2 linked regions of the Saccharomyces cerevisiae S288C genome follow. The gene in region 2 interacts genetically with the main gene of each other region. Each region holds a gene or a part of one and is shown on either strand. Other genes may lie near its edges.

The links. A genetic interaction does not mean that the proteins touch.
Region 1: mutations in MRH4 (region 2) and PIR1 together harm fitness more than expected from each alone (negative genetic interaction), as found in Saccharomyces cerevisiae (one large-scale study listed by BioGRID).

The regions. Positions count from the first base shown.
Region 1 is NC_001143.9:141,294-144,863, reverse strand, and holds PIR1 (beta-1,3-glucan linked protein), read left to right. Parts: upstream 1-2,044; coding exon 2,045-3,070; downstream 3,071-3,570. Other genes in the region: PIR3 (beta-1,3-glucan linked protein), read right to left, coding at 1-463. UniProt on the Saccharomyces cerevisiae protein: Component of the outer cell wall layer. Required for stability of the cell wall and for optimal growth. Required for resistance against several antifungal and cell wall-perturbing agents and for tolerance to heat shock.
Region 2 is NC_001139.9:380,845-385,089, forward strand, and holds MRH4 (ATP-dependent RNA helicase), read right to left. Parts: upstream 2,365-4,245; coding exon 679-2,364; downstream 1-678. Other genes in the region: ALG2 (GDP-Man:Man(1)GlcNAc(2)-PP-dolichol alpha-1,3-mannosyltransferase), read right to left, coding at 1-427; pseudouridine synthase PUS2, read left to right, coding at 2,810-3,922. UniProt on the Saccharomyces cerevisiae protein: ATP-binding RNA helicase involved in mitochondrial RNA metabolism. Required for maintenance of mitochondrial DNA.

The sequences.
Region 1 (3,570 bases), on a different chromosome or scaffold from region 2:
CATCAGTTATTTGAGAAACGGCAGCGGCAGTAGACTTAGCAGCTTGAACTTGACCGTCAGTTATTTGAGAAACGGCAGCGGCAGTAGACTTAGCAGCTTGAACTTGACCGTCAGTTATTTGGGAAACAGCAGCGGCAGTAGACTTAGCAGCTTGAACTTGACCGTCAGTTATTTGAGAAACAGCAGCAGCGGTGGATTTCTTAGAAACAGCAGCAGTAGTAGTGGCAGCCTGTACTTGACCATCACCTATCTGAGAGGCGGCTCTCTTTGCTTTAGATGAGGCGACGGAGGAAGCACTGGTAGCCACGGCTTCAATAGCAATACCGAAACTCGAAGAGTAATCTGTTATACCACCCTTGTAAGTAGCTGATGGAGTTAAAGTGGACCACGGGTCCTTTGGAGCATAGGCAGCTAAAGATGTAGCAGCTAAAGCGGAGACGACTAATGGCTTTTTATATTGCATTTTTACTTATAAACAGTACTTGTTTTATGAGATTTCTTATTGATGTAAATGTAATAATTATCTAAAGAAATCTTAGGTTACAGTTTCAGTGTTAGACAAAACAAGACACAAATCAATAGAGCATGCTAAATGACGAGAATCTTATATAGGCTTGATTTGGCGCATGTTGTAATGAATGGAGTAGGGATAATCCTGGAGATGCATGATTTATCCCTTCTATTTCAGTCGACGGCGAAATATGCCAAATTTAGAAAGCCCTCGGCCTTTGATCTATAATTAGTTTGCTAATCGTTTGATCCCCTTTAACTTGCAATAACTTTTCCCGATGAGGTAAAAATACAGCTTAACCGCCAAGAAATTGCGCGGGGCCAGAAATCAAATTTAAAGGAAGTAGTGTACAATAAGGTCGATTTACTCCTTCAACTACTACTACATTCGGAAATGGTTGCTCGGTTCCGAATAAGGTCTCTTACGCTAGCTTCCCGGTGACCTTACCGATCTATGCCCGTAAAGTATTTTTGCAATTGTATTCTGTACAAAAGTTGTCTTTTGGATGCATTTTTCACACATTTGCATCAATGAAAGTCCGAATGCGCCTATCATCCCGTTGTTGTCTTAAGATTATAAGAAAGTACATGGGCAAAAACACGATAATAGTAATGTAGTGACTCCCGTTTAGAATAAAGAGCTGCGCACATACCTAAAATGGTTGCACATTTTAGAAACCTACTCGGTGGCACGTGAAGTGGTATACATTTAGTTAATAGTTAAATAATTTTCGTACAGAATATCGCACCGTCTCTTAGCATAACAGTGTATCTCACAATCTTTGTTCCTGTTACTAGAGCGAAAACTTAATGATCTAGTTATATCTTCTTTTGTCCCCTCTTGGCCCCTCAATAATGTTTTATTTAGCACCAGCACTTTTCTCATTTGGTTTTTCTTTTTTTTCTAATATATTCTGCCTTTCCTATTTAGGTAATAATTCCTCGAAGCCAGACGCCTTTTTCGGCTACTTTTTTGACAGCTGCTGCCCCTTTAATGAAACGGTTGGTCGAAAAGGAGTCAATGTATATCTCATATGAAATATGCAAAGCATTCCTGTCATCGGAAAATGACGTGGCTTGGAGCGCATAAAAATGGAGAGATCGGCCAGCTTGCTCTTAATTATATCATCATTTATTATTAGCAGCCTTTTTATGTCCTGCCAATTATAGAAGCAACGCTAATAAAAGAAATTGAGATGGCGGACGTAAATCCTTCTTGGAGCTCGATTACTTGCTTTAATAATACGATGGACCATCATTTAGCCCATGTATCTGAAAGGGTTTAGACTGTGTCCAGTCAATCTCTCCTGCCCAAATATTAGAACGCTGGTATACTAATTATTCTTTCAATAAGAAGATCGTAATGCTACAATTCTCACATATAAAAAGGAGCAAGATCTTTACTACTTTATGCATAGTTGTCCTATCTTCTCTATTACTGTATAAGAATAATATCATCAAGAAAACAAAAGTTAATACACTGGTATTAAAAAAAAACAAACTACAAAACTCCCCTAATAGTATATTCTAGAAAATGCAATACAAAAAATCATTAGTTGCCTCCGCCTTAGTTGCTACATCTTTAGCTGCCTATGCTCCAAAGGACCCGTGGTCCACTTTAACTCCATCAGCTACTTACAAGGGTGGTATAACTGATTACTCTTCTACTTTCGGTATTGCTGTTGAACCAATTGCCACTACTGCTTCCTCCAAGGCTAAGAGAGCCGCTGCTATCTCTCAAATTGGTGACGGTCAAATCCAAGCCACTACCAAAACCACTGCTGCTGCTGTTTCTCAAATTGGTGACGGTCAAATCCAAGCCACTACTAAAACCAAAGCTGCTGCTGTCTCTCAAATTGGTGACGGCCAAATCCAAGCCACCACCAAGACTACCTCAGCTAAGACTACCGCTGCAGCCGTCTCCCAAATTGGTGACGGTCAAATTCAAGCCACTACTAAAACCAAAGCTGCTGCTGTCTCTCAAATTGGTGACGGTCAAATCCAAGCCACTACCAAAACAACTGCTGCAGCTGTCTCTCAAATTGGTGACGGTCAAATCCAAGCCACTACTAAAACCACTGCTGCTGCTGTTTCTCAAATTGGTGACGGTCAAATCCAAGCCACCACCAATACTACTGTTGCTCCAGTCTCCCAAATCACTGATGGCCAAATCCAAGCCACAACTTTAACTTCTGCAACCATTATACCATCTCCAGCTCCAGCTCCAATTACTAATGGCACTGACCCAGTAACTGCTGAAACATGTAAAAGCAGTGGCACTTTAGAAATGAACTTAAAGGGTGGTATCCTGACTGACGGTAAAGGTAGAATTGGTTCTATCGTTGCCAACAGACAATTCCAATTCGATGGTCCTCCACCACAAGCTGGTGCTATCTATGCTGCTGGTTGGTCCATCACCCCAGAAGGTAACTTGGCCATCGGTGACCAGGATACTTTTTACCAATGTTTGTCAGGAAACTTCTACAACTTATACGATGAGCACATTGGAACTCAATGTAATGCAGTCCACCTACAAGCTATCGATTTGCTCAACTGTTAATCATAAGTTTACCTCTCATAGTCGCATGAAAACATAAAGTCATCGTAGCATATTCTGTACATTAGTCATTTCTGTCTCCAAAGGGCATAATTTGGGTCGGTTCATTTTTTTCTTCTTAATTCGTCTCTTCATTTCATAAAGCTTTCTTTTGAAACCTATGAAATGAGCTTTACAGTTCTTCACTCTTTTTTTTAAAGTTTGTTTATTTTTTTATACTATATACATTATTATTTCTAAAAAATCATTATAAATTACGTTAAAAGCGCACCTTATACTTTGATAGAGTTTTCCCAGAAAAAAAACCAACGAATTTGATAGTACCAAGACTTCACGGGATTGAAATCGGATGCAACTTCAACTATTCCTGGGACAGAATATTTCTCAGACATTACTTTGTGTACCGTGGAGCCCTTTCTCATTTGAGAAGGAAACAAATTGTTGTCATCTTATAATGCCATATATTCGTCACTATCTCAGTCAAAATTTAAGAAAATTGACAT
Region 2 (4,245 bases):
ATAGCCCAGCTCTTTGAGCCAATAATTGGTCGGGGAAATGACAATAAAACATCAAAGTGGCAGAACTAAAGATATGCAGAAGCGGAATACATGTAGACAGTTGATCAATGATAATTAATTGGTACGCATTCACTTTTTTCTGTAGGATCAATTGAATAACTAAATAAAGCTGTCTAATTGTTGCGAAAACAATAAAAAAACGACCCAAAAAGTTTGTCGGTAAAAAATCACCATAAACTTCGACTTTTAATTGGCCGTTTTTAACTTCTTCGAAACAATGTGATTTATCACAGTGACTAGTATAGATGATTACACTATGTCCTTGTTGCTGTAGACCTAATGCTGCATCGACGACTAACCTTTCAGCGCCCCCAATACCTAGGTCTGGATGAATAAAAGCAATCGTTCTTTTATCCTTTTCAATCATTTTTGCTTGTCTAATCGACTCTTTTTTATCTGTCTTTACTACTGTATCTATTTCGTGACTTCTTAAATGGCGAACGTAATCTTTTGATGTTAAAATGAATACATCATTTATTTTGTTGTTCGCGCGTTCATCTAGCCAGGCACTTGTTTATAAAAAAAGAAGCTATACGCAAGGCTCTCGATCTATAAATTGTATCTGTGATTGTGACCCTTTCGTATATATGTTATAATATTTACAAGAATATACATTTATCATGATAATCTCTGGTGCTTTTTGATGATCTTTGGAAGAGCTTTAGCCCAAGATTTTGTTTTACTGTCAGTTAGCATAAATACGCGGCCGCCCTGTTTCATTCTAGCAGTTCTGCCCACTCGGTGTATCAGGTCTATTGACGTTTTGGGTACATCGTAGAGAACAACATTCCGTACACCTTTGAAATTGAGCCCTCTTGCCATGAGGTCGGTGGTTACGAGTACATGCAAAGACTTGTTACTGGGTGCGGTACCATTAGAATTTGTGTTTTTCAATTTGCCGATGACGATGTTGGAATCAGGAATTTCAAATTTCTTCAAGGAAGTGGGAGGTGAAGTACTCTGAGCAACCACCTCCGAAAGTGGTCGCGGTGGTGATAAAAAGGGCATAATTTTCTCGGATCTTTCTTCAAATGTATCTTCACCAGTTAAACCGATGGCATTATGACCGAATTTCTTATTCAATAGGTTAACAATTTCAGGAACATTCTTTTTTTCGTTAACAAAGATAATGCATCTTTTCTCGAACCCTGGTTCCGTGTCATCATTTGAAATAGCATATAAAGTTTGTGCCAATGCTTTGATCTTGGATCCCTTGAAAGGACTTAAGGCAGAATTTATAACTTTAAAGTCCAAAGCGAATGGTAACTTATGCAGTCTGGGTGTCATTATAGGAACCACTGTAGGAAATAGTCTTTGCATTGTTTTATTAAACTCTTGAGGAATAGTAGCGGAACAGAAAATAAGGTGATTAATGTTAGGAATTCTCTTTATTGCGGAGTGCGTTTCTTCAAGCCATGACCTATCTAGAAGTGTGTCAGCTTCATCTAGTACTACGAAACCCACTTTGGACAAGACTTTATCAGGTCTAGTTATCATTCTTATGGAGAACAGGTTCAGTAGTTTTCCCGGAGTAGTGACTAAAATATCTATTCTATTTTTAATGTTCTCTAATAAATCACGATATGATGTGGCCTTGTCCCACTTGAAAGAGTTTAAGCCTAACAAGGTTTTCGTCTTGGAAACAGTTTCGTATACTTGGTCAACCAATTCATGCGTAGGCACCAGTATGATGGACCGAATCAGAACGTTTTTTCTTAATGTTTCCCATAATTCGGGAGTTTCCAACTCCTGTCTTTTCAAATAGTCTATTAAAGGTATCAAGTAGGCCATGGTCTTACCTGAACCTGTCTCAGCGGCAATCGCATGTATTTGTAACTTTGGATCCATTAAATTTTTGGATATTCTCTTAATGGCCACTGTTTGAATGGGACTCGGTATTATATTTTCACTGGTTTTTTTCCTACTATCTTGTAGCTTCAGGGACTCTTTGGAAATGATTTCTTTCACAGCGTCTCTGACAGGTGGAAGTATAAGCAATTGGTCGAAATTCGATATTTTTTGAATGAGTTTATTCGTACTGTCCATATTCATCTCGACGTCTTTTTTCAATCCACCATACTCTCCAAAGTTGAATGCTTGGTCAGGGTCATTCTTTTTGTTACCTTTTTTGCCTTTGGCCTTCTGTTTTCGGTTTTTATTACTACTGCCTGTAGGCACTGAAGCTAATGGAGAGTTTCCTTTATGCTTTGTTCTTGGGCCTCCCGCATAAGAACGCACTCCTATCTTGAGAAGCACGGGGAAAGACCACTGTGGTGAAATTACTGGCTTGAAAAAAAGCGACATTTGTCTTATTATACTTTAATCTGATCTGAAGAAGTATTTCTACTCATCACTAATATCTATTCCGCTATTATTATAGTTGTAATTTATGATTCCGTGGTAAGTGATTTGAACTTTTGCTTCCTTTCGAAAATTTCAAGAATATGGTTTGGTTGTGCTGTGCAAGAGCGGTTGTATTGCGAAATAGAACCCATCGAGAAAAGAAAATGAAAAAGACGGCATTAAAGACTAGCTCTGTTTTAAGACAAATATTTACAGGCCAGAGAATAAAGAGATACTCGTATGTATGAATTGTAGCCCCTTACACACATATGTATATATATCGATGTGAACATAGCATTTATTAACAGTTCTGCTCAGTACAAATGGTAGTAGTACTAGTGATGAGGTTACTCCGACACCGTTAACAGCGGTAGTAAAGAGAAGGCCGAGTAAACATAAGGTCGTTATGCTCTTAGGTTACTGTGGCAGCGGATACTATGGAATGCAATACAACCCACCACACAAGACGATTGAAGGTGAGATTCTCACCAAGCTCTTCGACGTAGGAGCCATTTCCGAAGAAAATTCATTGGCACCGAAGAAAAATTCCTTTATGGCAGCGGCAAGAACAGACAAGGGTGTACACGCTATGTTGAATCTACTGTCGCTAAAGATCACATTGCGAGAGGACACAGTAGCGAAGTTAAACGCCGCACTACCGCCCGAAATACGCGTGTGGGGTATCCAGCCTGTCAATAAAAAGTTTAATGCTAGATCCGCGTGCGATTCTCGATGGTACCAATACCTTATCCCAGAATTTATACTCATTGGTCCACCCCGGAGTTCTCTTTTGCATCGAAACGTGGGGGGATGCTACCGCGAAGACGGCTCGCAAGAGGTGTGGGATACGTTCCTGGAACAGACGCGTGGGAGATTTAGCGGGGATGAGCTGTGCCGTTTGCAGGACACTGCACAGAAACTAAGCGAGAGCGATCCTTTGGTACAAGACTACGTGGGGCTATTGAGCGGTACCCTTAGCGGCTACTGCTTGTCGCCCTCGAAGCTGGACGCGTTTGAGGCAGCCATGCAGGAGTACGTGGGAACGCATAATTTTCACAACTTTACCACAGGAAAGCTTTGGGGGGATCCTAGTGCTCAGCGCCATATCAAAAAGGTTGTAGTGTCGCAGGCCTCACCGGGATGGATATGTGTGCGGATCCACGGGCAGTCGTTTATGTTGCATCAGATTCGACGAATGGTAGCGCTTGCCGTACTTGCAGCCCGTTGCCAATTGCCGCCTAATATTGTACGTAACTATTTTAACGCCGGGCCTAGGAAATACATTCCGAGGGCGCCCGCACAAGGCCTATTATTAGAGGGACCTGTGTTTGACGGGTATAACACTAAGTTGCGCAATTTGCTGTATTGCGAAATCCGCCCGGACGATATCACTCTTGAGCGCATGTGCCGTTTCCGAGAACGCCAGATCTGTACTGCGATCGCACACGAGGAGACACAGCGTCACGTGTTTTGCCATTTTGTACGACAAATGAACCGCCTGGCCACGCCTCTAATCTAGCCGCCCAATGTCGCGGGTTGACCCGCGACATTGGGCGGGCAATACTCTCATCTTATTGGCTATTCAACTTAGACAAGCGCCAGTTGCGCGCACAAATTTGGTCATGACCGCTCCACCGGCATGCGTGTCGTCATCCCGCATCATTCGGGACATTTTGGCCTTTTCCGCAGTGCGTAGTTGACGTGGGGAGAAAGCTAGTGGGCTGTCGCATATGGTTGGTTTTAGGTGGCGAAAGTTTCGCCGCGATAGCAATCATGTCCTCGACCTTAATCTCAATGGAATGGGTCATGCTCGGTAAGTGAGTCTCGCTGTATATAAGTATA